Arabidopsis thaliana: one gene and its partner. The protein of the gene in region 1 purifies or fractionates together with the protein of each later gene. This does not show direct contact. Each region holds a gene or a part of one and is shown on either strand. Other genes may lie near its edges.

The links.
Region 2: the proteins of AT1G67580 (region 1) and TPR10 purify together in Arabidopsis thaliana (affinity purification with mass spectrometry, with the first as the bait; one large-scale study listed by BioGRID). This does not show direct contact.

The regions. Positions count from the first base shown.
Region 1 is NC_003070.9:25,326,735-25,333,073, reverse strand, and holds AT1G67580 (Protein kinase superfamily protein), read left to right. Parts: upstream 1-1,612; 5' UTR 1,613-2,108; coding exon 2,109-3,823; intron 3,824-4,356; coding exon 4,357-4,492; intron 4,493-4,578; coding exon 4,579-4,667; intron 4,668-4,859; coding exon 4,860-4,971; intron 4,972-5,064; coding exon 5,065-5,171; intron 5,172-5,247; coding exon 5,248-5,347; 3' UTR 5,348-5,792; downstream 5,793-6,339. Other genes in the region: AT1G67570 (zinc finger CONSTANS-like protein (DUF3537)), read right to left, coding at 6,136-6,278.
Region 2 is NC_003074.8:1,274,643-1,281,640, forward strand, and holds TPR10 (ankyrin repeat family protein), read left to right. Parts: upstream 1-2,025; 5' UTR 2,026-2,305; coding exon 2,306-2,801; intron 2,802-2,885; coding exon 2,886-2,947; coding exon of another isoform or gene 2,948-2,965; exon of another isoform or gene 2,966-3,182; intron 3,183-3,385; exon of another isoform or gene 3,386-3,472; coding exon 3,473-3,617; intron 3,618-3,963; coding exon 3,964-4,026; intron 4,027-4,110; coding exon 4,111-4,281; intron 4,282-4,365; coding exon 4,366-4,497; intron 4,498-4,593; coding exon 4,594-4,733; intron 4,734-4,821; coding exon 4,822-4,908; intron 4,909-5,006; coding exon 5,007-5,132; intron 5,133-5,251; coding exon 5,252-5,392; intron 5,393-5,470; coding exon 5,471-5,536; intron 5,537-5,620; coding exon 5,621-5,722; intron 5,723-5,808; coding exon 5,809-5,979; intron 5,980-6,066; coding exon 6,067-6,146; intron 6,147-6,239; coding exon 6,240-6,300; 3' UTR 6,301-6,476; downstream 6,477-6,998. Other genes in the region: ANX1 (Malectin/receptor-like protein kinase family protein), read right to left, coding at 1-1,296; AT3G04700 (carboxylate clamp-TPR protein (DUF1685)), read left to right, coding at 2,306-2,801, 2,886-2,965.

The sequences.
Region 1 (6,339 bases):
AAAAAAAAAAAGTTTTGTTTGGGGAAGTAGATAAAAGAAATTGAGCCAAGAACTCTCAAAGTTAATCAAGGTCCCACGAGTGGCCAACTATCCGCACTTTAATTGCTAACTTCACTTAAAACTATGTCGCTAACCTTTTAATTGACACAAACACATTTGGGGAAACTCATAATCTTTGATGTGACCGGTAAAGCAAAAGTTTTGGGCTTTTTACCAGATGTCTGATCTCGCATTTGGCCCGACCCCGCAATTTTGGGCTTCTAAGATAAGGTCAGGCCCGGCTTTAAGGCACAATGTAAGCCCAGCAGTTCAAAGGTTGATCCGACATTAATTTGGTAACGGAGGAATCTCAACTTAAATGATAAGCATTTACGATCCGAGCTGACGACTCGTAACGTGCGAAGTTAATGAGGCGAGATCCGCGGCGTGAAGTCAGCGAATCATTTAACTCGTTTGATTCGATGTATTTGTATAAATAAGAGTCAATTGACATTGTAAAAGGGGATACACATTGTACTGAAACTATACTGAAATACATAAATACTTTTCACTTGATCACTGTTCGTCTAACAAGATTTAAGACCTTCACGAAACAACCACAAAATTCTAATTGCGGATTACGACATCCACACAAATCAAATAAAGATAATCTCAGATATGATGGAATAGTACTAGTACTTGATAGTGATTTTGATTGTCAAATTTTGTAAAGAGCAAAAAAATTGAAGTCTAGAATGAAAGATGACTCATATGTTTCGACCAAGCTAGTCATGAACACAAACAAGAAGAGAAATGATTAGTTCGTGATTGAGAGATTATGAATATTCATAATGTTCTAAAACGGTTTATGTGGTCCCCTAAACATTATGCAGCCACAAACCGTGACAATCATTTTTTCGGACATTGAAATTAGACATTTTAGTTTTGACTGGCCTTCGGCAATATTAGGTACATAATTATCAAAGTTAACATGACTCCAAAAATTAACATATGTTTTTTGATTTAAATGATTTGATGGTAATATTAAGGTTTTCATGTCTTAGAGCAATTTTATTTGTGGTTTCTAGATATAAGTTTCTTAACATTAAAACAACAAAAATAATATTATCTAACTATGTGAGTTTCTTGAATAGTTAAGAAATTCTCTCCAAAATTTCCTATATAAGGTATTTTAGAGATGACTTTTTCACTAATCAAAAAGCCCACACATTCTTTTATAATAAATTTTCTTTCTTTAAAATAAAAGACTTATGTTTAGAAATCATCAATGAGATTGTTCTTATGTTCCAAGTGCTCCAACATCGACTTTCAAGATAATAGTCTTTGTGGTTAAGATGACAATAATTCGATTAATTTTGGGTGTGAGTCGTGTGACTATCCCACGAAAATAAAATTGTTTTGCCAATTTGATGGTAAAATCTCACGATAAAAACTCAAACAATAACAGCCTACCAAAAAAAAAACTCAAGACCATAACATGTTAAATTTAAATAAATAAATATATTTTTGGTTTCAATAATATTGTCGTAGAAGTTTTAAAATATTTTAGAGATAAAAATAAAAAGAAACACATTGATTAATTACAAAAGTTAGGGGCTCCTTATACCTTTTTTTTTTTCATCAAGGGGCTCCTTATACTAAAACAATAAAATAGAGGGGGCGAATACAAAAACACGATTTTAGAGACCTAAAGCTTTGAGCTTTCGACGAGAAACTTTCTTCTCTCTCTCTCTCTCCGCCATTGTTCGTTCCCTCTCCACGGTAATCTATATCCACCCGTCGTCAATCGGAACTTTACGAACTCCTTATCAATCGTATTTTCACTTTCCAATTCTGAGTTCTCTTCTCGTTTCGTCCTCTCTTCCTCCGTATCCACGGGTCTCGCTTTCGGTTTCTAGGGTTTCGCGGTTCTGATCACAAGTTCTGCTTCAATTGTAAGCGATTTGATCGCAAGTAGCTGTTAAATCGGTGCGTAATTCAACTTTTGAAATCTCAAGGTTTAGTCTCTGCAATTCTGATTTTGAACACAGCTAGCTAGTAGCAGATTTAAGAGTTCGTCAAATTAGGATTTTGGGTTTGTTTGGGTCCCTTTCTCACCGAAGTTCTGTATGGCGGCTGGGAGGAATATAAGATATCCAGACCATGAACTGAGAGACCAGGAATCGAATTCTAGATTTTCCAGGCGGGATAGTGCTTATGCGAACGAGGATTATAATCATGTTAGGAACGGTGCTATTGATAATGGAAAGGGACGGGTTAGTAATCTAAGACACGGGGATAGAGATAGAATTAAGTCTGGAGCTAGACAGGAAGAGAACAAAATGGTTAGTAGTGGGTTTCGGTTATCGAAGAGCAATCCAGGTAGTAGAGAAGTATTTATCGATCTTGGTCCTAAAAGATGCGGGTTTTCAGCTAGGTCTGTGGACAGGGAACCAGGCGAGCTCTCTAGTGAGAGTGGGTCGGATGATTTGATTGAGTCGGAATCACTGGCGAAAGTTAATGGAGTTGTGAAGGAGGTAGAGAATAGAGCTCAAAGTCCTGTGGAAAAGAAGAGAAAGTTTTCACCAATAGTATGGGATAGGGATGACCATGAGAGAAGTAATTTGAGCAGAAATGAAAAACCTGTGGAGGTCACTCCTCTTCCTCCCCCACCACCACTAGTTAAGAGGTCAAGCCAGTCACCTAGTGTCAGTTGTGGTGGTAATTCTCATTATTCACCTGCAAAGAGTGACATGCATCAAGATCCTGTGGAAGTTGGTGTTTCTGCGGTTTCTATGCCTGCTTTGTCACCTTCGGTAGAGATGTCCTCTTTGTGTGTGGTAGAACAGTCATCAAATGCTGAGCAGGATGACAAACAAGAGCATGCAACACACCTGGAAGAGGATGAAAACATGCCAACACGGCATATATCATCCTCTAGGTGGGCTGCTGGTAATAGTTCTCCAACTGATGAAGTTGAAATAGTAGAAGAAGTTGGGGAAAAGAAAAGGAGGAAGAAACCATTTCCCGTGCAGGGGAGATTTCGCAATACCTCTCAAACACCTGAGGTCGGGGAGTTAGTGAGGGAAGGTTATAGATCATCTGATTCCGATGAAAGGGGGCACCATTCTTTACCGGGAAGCAGAGATGATTTTGAGGAGAGAGATGCTGTTAAGAGTGACAAGATGGAAATAGATGAGGAGGAACACAGAAGAGAAAACTCTGTTGACAGCCTTAGTGAAACAGATTCAGATGACGAATATGTACGGCATGAGACACCTGAACCTGCCAGTACTCCACTGAGAAGTATAAACATGCTCCAGGGTTGTAGAAGTGTTGATGAATTTGAGAGGTTAAATAAGATCGATGAAGGTACTTATGGTGTTGTTTATAGAGCAAAGGATAAGAAGACAGGCGAAATTGTGGCATTGAAGAAGGTGAAGATGGAAAAAGAAAGAGAAGGTTTTCCATTGACTTCTCTTAGGGAAATTAACATCCTCCTTTCTTTTCATCATCCATCAATAGTGGATGTTAAAGAGGTGGTCGTGGGTAGCAGCCTTGATAGCATATTCATGGTGATGGAATACATGGAACATGATCTTAAAGCATTGATGGAGACAATGAAGCAGCGTTTTAGTCAAAGTGAAGTTAAGTGCTTAATGCTTCAACTTTTAGAGGGCGTCAAGTATCTTCACGACAACTGGGTGCTTCATCGAGATTTGAAAACATCTAACCTGCTTTTAAACAATCGGGGTGAGTTGAAGATATGTGACTTTGGTTTGGCTCGGCAATATGGCAGCCCGCTCAAGCCTTATACTCATCTGGTTGTTACGCTTTGGTACAGGTAAAGTGCGTTTTTACCCTATTCTTGTTTATAAAAAAATTAAGTGGTGTTTACATTTACGATTGTTATTTGAATTCTGGTGGACTTTCTTGTTTTTTTTTGGCCATTGTTAGTATAACATTAGGTGCCACGTCTCCTTTCTGGTATAGCTGTACTACACCGTACTCCCTTTTCTATTTCTGCACATTAGGATCAATGATTTTAAAGTCCTGTTTTTAAATGGTGTTCCAAGGTATCTGATATTTGTTCCAATGGCACCACAAACTTGAGTTTTGTGACTGCCTTGGATCCTTATCTTTCCTCTTTGAGAATAGTCTTCATAATATGCCAGCTTAGCCATTAAATACTTAACACTTTTGCGGTATTTGCTTGGACACCACGTACCATGAACCAACGTAATCTGGGCACATTAGGAAATATACGTGCTTCAACTTCCTTGACTTGTTTTGTTCCTTGTGTTGACTCTCCCTTCTTGTTTTAGCAATAATCACTTCCTCCGGGACCAAGCCCAACGACTGCATTTGTTTTTCCAGGGCACCTGAACTTCTCTTGGGAGCAAAACAATATTCTACAGCCATTGACATGTGGTCACTGGGCTGTATCATGGCAGAACTATTAATGAAGGCGCCATTGTTCAATGGGAAAACGGAGTTTGATCAACTTGACAAGGTATTTTAAACATCGGTTTTGATTTGGATCTCCAGCCATCCTGGGACCACATACAGCTTATAAATTACTCCTTCTTTAATTTACAGATTTTCAGAATCCTTGGTACTCCCAATGAATCTATTTGGCCTGGGTTCTCTAAACTACCTGGAGTCAAGGTCAACTTTGTCAAGCATCAGTAAGTATTTATAGTTCCTTTTATTTTCAGTTTATATGGAAGGATAACCTTAGTATATGCTTAAAGTCTCTAATATTGTTCCCAGGCTTTCTAGCTTTAGATGATGTGGTGTGGCTCTCTGACTCATTAGTGGATTTATATTGTTTTCATAGTTGTTATGTCACTCTTCTCACCGCTTACCTGTACTTTTAGGTATAACCTATTACGTAAGAAATTCCCAGCCACTTCGTTCACTGGTGCACCAGTTCTGTCCGATGCTGGGTTTGACTTACTGAACAAGCTCCTAACGTACGATCCTGAAAGGGTAATAGAAAATATATATCTGTTGCATGCATGTTAATCCAGTATGCACCTTAATTGTTCCTTGACTTTTGGATCTCTGTGGCTTCTTCTGCAGAGAATAACTGTTAATGAAGCTCTAAAGCATGATTGGTTCCGCGAAGTCCCTCTGCCAAAATCCAAAGATTTCATGCCTACTTTTCCTGCTCAACATGCCCAAGACAGGTACTGAGGTCTATCTAAACTGAAACGATCAGTGGTTGACTTTAATTCTGTCTCTTACTTTTTCTTCTATGCCTAGGCGTGGGAGGAGAATGGTAAAGAGCCCTGATCCTTTGGAAGAGCAACGTAGGAAGGAATTAACGCAAACCGAACTTGGGTCTGGCGGTCTGTTTGGCTGAAGTACAGCACACCGGTCGAAGATAGCAGTTGGAATACAACCTTGATATTCTCAAATACCTTGGAATTACCACATTTTAGGCGAGGGCTGCTGCTTAAGCGGAGGTTGGAATATTTGTATCTCAGAATATCATTCATGCTTTCTTTATTCACTTTGAGGGTCCGTGGTGATTTGTGAAGATGATTTTCCTCCTTTCGCCACTGAGAATCCTTGCAGGTTTAATGTGTTCACAAGCTAGGCTGGCCAGTTAGTGCTATGGCTTTCTGACAGTGCTTGTTTTGTAAGACAATCTCCAATGTATAGCTCTATATCTTACTCTAAAATAGAGTTGCTTTCTCTCCAATGTATATTTCTATTTTCTAGTCTAAAAAAGAATATTTTTAGAAATATTCTATTTCTATTTATATACTAATACCTTTTAATTATATAATTTACAATTTACTCCATATGTTATAAATTTGCAAATTGCCATAAAATATGATATTATTTATAAAAAATCCAAATGTTCGGACATATTTTGAGAGTGAACAAGTATGGATTTTACAAAAACGACGAGTCCAACAACAGGATCAAGATCAAGAAACTCCTCCTCCATCTAGTACAATATAGCTTTGTACACTCTTCACGTAACCAAGTTAAGAGAGGCTCGCGGGAAAAAAAAAAAAAAAAAAAGTTAAGAGACGCTCATGTAAGTATATCTTCTCCTATCAATTGAAGAATCTCACTATATGGCAGAAGGTAAAAAAGCTATGCAATAATGCATGATACACCAACCCTTTTTTTTTTTGGTCATTCAGTACCGAAAACTACAGTCTTGCCGAGTACAAAAGTAACTAGAGAGAGCTCAATGAAGAATATTGTGTTTATCAAATGCCTGTCTACTGTCCACCCGAATATCGTTATCCCGCCTGGATTCATCTGCAAATACAACACTGCAACATATCATCTAATTAGCTATCATCATATCTGAGTTTAGCTGTAAAGGTACAAGTA
Region 2 (6,998 bases), on another chromosome or scaffold:
GATGAAAGCGTGTCTCTTTTCGTTCTTGAATTCTTTTTTAACCTCTTCCTCAGCTTGCATAGGCGATGGCTCGGGGTTTGGACCCGCAAGATTTTTCATGGTGTCCATCTTGAAAATCTCTAACCCGTTAAGAGATGAATCATAATATTCCGGTTGACCAAAAGTTGATGGAGTCATCTGAAGTGTAATCTCTTCGCCTCCGTTGTTGGCATCAACATATATCGCGTAGTCTTTGTACATCGGGATTCCTTTCTCTCCTGTCCACCCTATTATATCTGCAGGAGTAGTATCTGCCTGCGCTGTTCTGTTATTGATGTAAATGTTGAAAACCTTCTGGTTGATCTTGGAAAGCTGGAATTCGCAGAAATGGAGTCTCAAAATGTAGGTGAAGTTCTTATCGATTTGGAACATCCATGTAAGATTGGATTTGAGGTTGATATCTCCGTTTGGGCCTTGAGATCTTGCGGTTTTGTATATATCGGCTGGAGCTATAGACACCGGCATGTTCTGGTAGTTGATCCTAAAATTGTTGCTTGCTTGAAGTGTAACACCAAGACCCGCACTAAAGATGTAAGGTGCATCATTATACCAAGTTCTTGTCAACCCACCGGAGTCTTGGCTTCCAGGGATGTCCTGACCACCAACATTAAGTCTAAACATTGACTGAAGATTCGCAGTCTTGGCATCCATTGTTTGGTCTGTGAAACCAACAAGAGCCGCCGTGTCAAACAATTCCGGCATCTGAATCACCTCGATACCGTTTATAAAGGCAAATGCGTCTCGGTATTTATCTGAAGGGGTAAACTTGATGCTCAAAACATCTTTGTCAGTGGGTGCAAGAGAGTATTCTTTAACCAGATAAGCTTGAGTCAAAGCTTGACACGTAATCGCGGCGCTGAAATTGCTCAGTAAGGTAACATCGTTAGCTTCCACAGTGAAATACGAGTTGGAAATGTTGAGACCGGTGTATGTTGATGGGTAGAAATATAACCGAAGCAAATGTCTTTTATCTCCTTTAATCGGGATTTCATAAGTTGCTGGAGCTGTAAAGATTCTGGCTGTCATATAAGGAACTGTTGAGAGAAGTGAAGGGTCTTGATATGTAGCCGTTGCGTGAATTGAGTTTCCAGTCTTTAAAAACTTTGTATCTGGTTCCCATTTTTTCTTATCTTGGTCAGCAGAAGCTTCTGATGTCCCGCAGCTCAGAGCTAAATCTTGTCCGTTAGATCTAGTTGGAAAAACCAATAGAAAGGAGAGACATGTGAGGAAAAAGAGAATCCGAGTTTTCCCGCTCATGGCTGACACATCAACGGGTAGAGACTCTTTGCCTTAAACAAAAAATGAGGAGAGAAAAGCTTTCTTTTTTGTAAGAATTAAGATCACTTTTACGCTTGTGGACAAAATTAGAAGTTTATTTCTTATTGTCTCTGTAACCTAACCATAGAAAGTCAGGACTTGCATGGATGAACAAGAAGCAAAAACCTTGCAAGAAAAAAAAAAACAAGGTACACACTCTTTTTTCTTTTCTATTTTCTCGTTTTGTCTAGTTTTTTTTTGTTTGTAATTATGAGGTTACTGGTGTTTTTCTCATTTTCCGTCGTTCTGTCTGAAAGAGAAACAAAATTAGTTAGAAAAATTCGTGGTGGAGAGGATTACCCGAACAAGCTATGTTTAGCATATAGTTAGAGAAACTGAAAAGACTTTTGTTCTTTGACTACAACATGAAAATTCATGTAATCTAAATATAGAACTCTTAGACCATATTGTTTCAATAACATTATTACAAACTTTTGAAAGTTTGACTTGATAGAGATAGACTACGACATGTTTTGAAACTCTTTTCTTAGAATGGTCAAGGATCTAAACAAAGAAAGTCCCTAAAGATCTGGATGAATCAATCGTCAAATTTTAAGCAATGGAAGAAAATAGCTTTTTGACTTTTATCCATTACATAGATCAATGGTGGAAACTAGTTTGTTATTCTCCATTAAAGCACTAAGAGTCTCTTCAAAGTTTATCTGGTCGGGTTGGGAAAAATCCAACTAGAGAAGAGCATAAAAGTAGACATCTGATCAACCCGACCCATAATAACCTTTTTTTGTTGGCCGCGTAATATGTTCGAGCGCGGCCATCACACTAAGAACATTCATAAAAAAAAATCCACAGGATTCAAAGCCCTTAAGCTTTGATCATAGTCTCTTAAAGAGGTAGTAAAACCATAAACTAGAGCCCCAATTTGCATTCACAAGCCACCTAACACATTAGCTTCTGGTCATTTCTGCTTTATATACACATCAAGTAAAAAATGGTGAGAAGAAGAGAAGGTCTTACATTGCCAATCATAAAACCGGCGCTTCCCGAGGTCAGATCAGCAGCGACAACGCCGGTGGCCTCACAGAAACCAAAACATCGTTTATCGAAACAACTATCTATGTGTGAAACACCAAGAGACGTTGCTTGGGAAAGAAGAAGGCGTCAGATGATAATGATTCAAGAAAAGAAGCTGCTTCATAAGGGCGCTTCAGACAATCTTTGTATACAGGCGAATCTAACGGATGAAGATTTAAACGAGCTAAAAGGATCGATTGAGCTAGGTTTCGGTTTCAATGAAGAAGCAGGACAAAAGCTTTGTAATACATTACCAGCTCTTGATCTTTACTTTGCAGTGAATCGTCAGCTCTCGCCTCTTCCTTCACCTAGCAGCAGCCGTAGCAGCAGTGCATCTGCGTCAACTTTCTCATACAGTATACCTTGTAGTCCAAAGAAAACTGATTCAGATTCTGTTAAAATCTTATGCCCAGGTATCTAAACTCATGTTTTTGGTATTTTGTTTTGAATGCAATAACATTTATAAACTAATGGTTTAATATGATCTTTTTTGGCAGGGGACGATCCTCAACAAATGAAGCAGAGGTTGAGACATTGGGCACAAGCAGTTGCATGTTCTGTTATGCAGTCTTATTGAAGATTATAAGCACTCAGATTTTCTTTTGAGAGATAGGAAGAAGCGAATCTTTTACAATTAGGATTCGAAAGAAACAAAAAACAACTAGAAAATTTTGGAGAAAAAGAGATGAAAATTGTGGCTCTGTATATAACTCACAAGATGAGAGAAAGAAAAAGAAAAACACCTCTTGTTCATAAGCTGTAATGATGTATACAAAAAAAAAGATTACAATATGATCTTGGATTGGATAATAAAATGAACTTTTTTCTAGATAATCGATTCTTAAACTGAAAATAAGCCCATTTTGATCTAACGTTAGAATGAAAATGAAGAGATTTGAGAAGTCAGGGTGTATTTTTTACAAAACGTATTATTGGGTGTATTTTGTAATAGTTAAATATATGAGGGTCTAAGATTCAAATTTATTAAAAGATAACCAAAAAAAAACCTCTGGAATCTTCTTAAAACCTAGAAGCCTCCGACTCCGACCAACTGAAAAATTAAAAGGCAAAAGCTTTTTTTCAGATTTCTGATAATCAGACAGACAGACACAAACAAACACCGGTATCGACGAACGGAACTAACTCCGATATCCAAAACCCACTCCAAGTTTCACGAACGAAGGGCTTAGTATCTGCCATGGCTCCTGATGCTTCTACTGCTCTTGCAGGTATGCTCTTTTCTATATTTTAGAATGATGTATCGATCTCTGTCTTTTGAATGCGTATGAACTATAGATTCCTTGATGGGCTCTCTTAGTTTTCTTTAGCTGAATTGATCTTATGGTGAAGTTTCGATTTTTTCTTCCTCTGCTGCCTTTTCTTCTTCCTTTTGTGAAATTTTCGTTGGCTATAATGTTTCGGCTATGGCCATTACTAGAACTGTAGAAACTCAAATACTAATTGAAAATTTTCTTTAATTTGGTATAAGTAGATTAGAATTGAAGTTGACACTTGGTAGTTTGAATCTCTAATTATAATTTTTGTTTTCGTTTCATCTTTGGATTCTTACTCTAGCGAGGGAGAAAGTTCAGCAAATCCTGAATGCAGCTTGTACCGGAAATCTCGAATTCCTTAAGAGTGAGTGCTTTATTTACTTTTCGTTTCTCTGTTTTCTTTGAGCAGTTATATGTTTTGTGTACTGATTATCACTTCTCCAAGCAGATGTTGCTAAGCAGCTTGATGAAGGAAAAGACTTGACGAAAACTGTGGAGAGTATTAAAGACGCAAACAAACGTGGAGCGCTTCACTTCGCTGCGAGAGAAGGACAAACTGAAATATGCAGATATCTTTTGGAAGAACTGAAACTCAATGCTGATGCAAAAGATGAAACTGGTTTGTGTTTCCTTGTGTTTTACAATTTGCAGAACTTTTCTATATATGTGAAAGTTGATCACTGAGATTGTTATGATTTGGTAGGTGATACTCCGCTTGTTCATGCTGCGAGGCAAGGACAGATTGAAACGGTTAAGTATCTTTTAGAGCAAGGAGCTGATCCCAATATAGCTAGTGAACTAGGAGCCACAGCTTTGCATCATGCGGCTGGGACAGGTTGGTTATCAATTGCTCTGTCTTTTTTTATTTCACTCTCTTGGGTCATGAAGTGTTCTGTTTTACTTATATAGCTTCTCTCTATACATCTATTAGGAGAAATCGAGTTGCTAAAGGAATTGCTCTCTAGAGGTGTTCCTGTTGATTCTGAAAGTGAATCTGGCACGCCATTAATCTGGGCTGCTGGCCACGACCAAAAAAATGCTGTGGAAGTCTTGTTAGAACACAATGCCAATGTAAACTTTGTGTATATCTCTATTTGATTATCTGTCTAAAACCGTACTTTCTTATAAACCTATAACCTTTTTGTTGATGACTCTGCAGCCTAATGCTGAGACTGAAGATAATATCACACCGTTATTATCTGCAGTGGCAGCGGGTTCTCTGTCATGCTTAGAGTTGTTGGTCAAGGTTTAACATCTTCTTAACATCCTCTAGTATTGCGTTGGTTCAGCTGCCAAATATCTTAAATCAGAGCTAACAAAAAATTGTTCTTTTTGTAATCACAGGCAGGTGCCAAAGCTAACGTTTTTGCTGGTGGTGCAACTCCATTGCACATTGCGGCTGATATTGGAAACCTTGAGTTAATTAACTGTTTACTTAAAGCCGGGGCTGATCCGAATCAGAAAGATGAGGTAAAACCAACTTGGAAATCAGTTCATATGCAAGAACCTGTTCCCTTGTTCATATGGTACGACATGAATACAATCTTGTGGTACTATACTGATTCTACTGTAAACTCGATTATTTTTAGGAGGGTAATAGGCCATTAGAAGTTGCAGCTGCTAGAGACAACAGAAAGGTTGTTGAGATCCTCTTCCCATTGACAACAAAACCAGAAACTGTTTCGGACTGGACAGTAGATGGAATTCTCGCTCACATGGAATCAAACAAAGTAGGCATATCAGATCTTTCCTGGCATTAGTGTCGGATATTTCGATATTTTTTGTCTGAAACAACTTAACATTTTCAGGAACAAGAGGAAAACTCAAACAAGGCGAAATCCCAAGAGACTGGGATCAAGAAAGATCTTCCTGTGGTACTTCATACTTTGATCAATATGCATTTCTCTTTCAACAAATTGTTTAAAGTACTTAAAGATAACCATTTTTAACTTCCACAGGTCTCCCCAGAAGCAAAGGCAAAAGCCGCAGAAGCAAAAGCCAGAGGACAAGACGCCTTTCACAGAAAGGATTTTCAGATGGCTATTGATGCTTATACACAAGTATTCTACTCTAAAACTTCTTCTGAAATCAAAACAAGATTCTTAATTTTTGCCTATATGTGATTTTGTGGTTTGTTTGAACACAGGCAATTGATTTTGACCCAACGGATCATACCTTATTCTCAAACCGAAGCCTCTGCTGGTTGCGACTAGGACAAGCTGAGCATGCCTTATCTGATGCTAAAGCCTGCAGAGAACTAAACCCAGATTGGCCTAAAGGTTGCTTCAGAGAAGGCGCTGCTCTGCGTTTGCTACAGGTAAAAAGCATCTACAATGCCACTAAAAATCTTTGATCTCTTAACGTTGAAACTGTATGACTCACCGAGTTTCTCATGAATCTCCAGCGGTTTGACGAGGCAGCCAATGCTTTCTACGAGGGAGTATTGCTTAGCCCTGAAAGCAAAGAGCTCATTGATGCTTTCAGGTTCGTAAGAAACACTTATGGTGTTGATTTTTATCGGTTGGTATTGGGTTTTCGAGATAGATGATGTTGTTTTTTTGTCTATTTCTTCTACAGAGAAGCTGTAGATGCCGGAAGGAAGTTTCACGGCAAGGGTGAGGTTAAGGCCAAATCATAAGATCTTCGAGAGATGGTTTATGTAGTATATGTATGAAGTTTTGATCTACTTCTTACCTTTGTTCTCCCTTGTGCACTATTCTTAGGAACAAAGTTTTGTTTGTGGTCGAATTTGGTAATTTGTCCGAGTTTACAGCTTAGATAAAAAAGAGTTGGTAATACATTAGACTGATTTTGAAACTTTTCTTATATTTACAAACAAAAATTTAATTACGAAAATCAATATCAAGAAACAACCAAACAAAATCTTTACTTCGTCTCAACAATAATTTTTCCTTCAAGGAGAGCTAGTATACTTGTGTTCAAGCTTAAAATGACATACGAACAACGATAGTGTTTAATCACAACGTAATATTAGAAAAATATCGAAGTTAAGACATTAAATCTGAAAAATAGTCTACGATAAAAAGATGAAGATATGTCTTACAATGACTTCAAACCTAAGGTGCCGAAACTTTAGCACATTCACACACAAAAATCCTAAAAATTAGCAAGTAGAACCTAACTTTTACTTCTTTCCTTGAGAAACAAGTTAAAGCCCAAACTCAACCAAAACCTTAATACGACTCTTGACACCGAACCCTAAACTTACGACTCTTGACACCGAACCCTAAACATACGACTCTTGACACCGAACCCTAAACATCCGCCTTAGCATGAAACTCCTTTCTTTTGGGGGCTCATCTCCACCGTTTATGT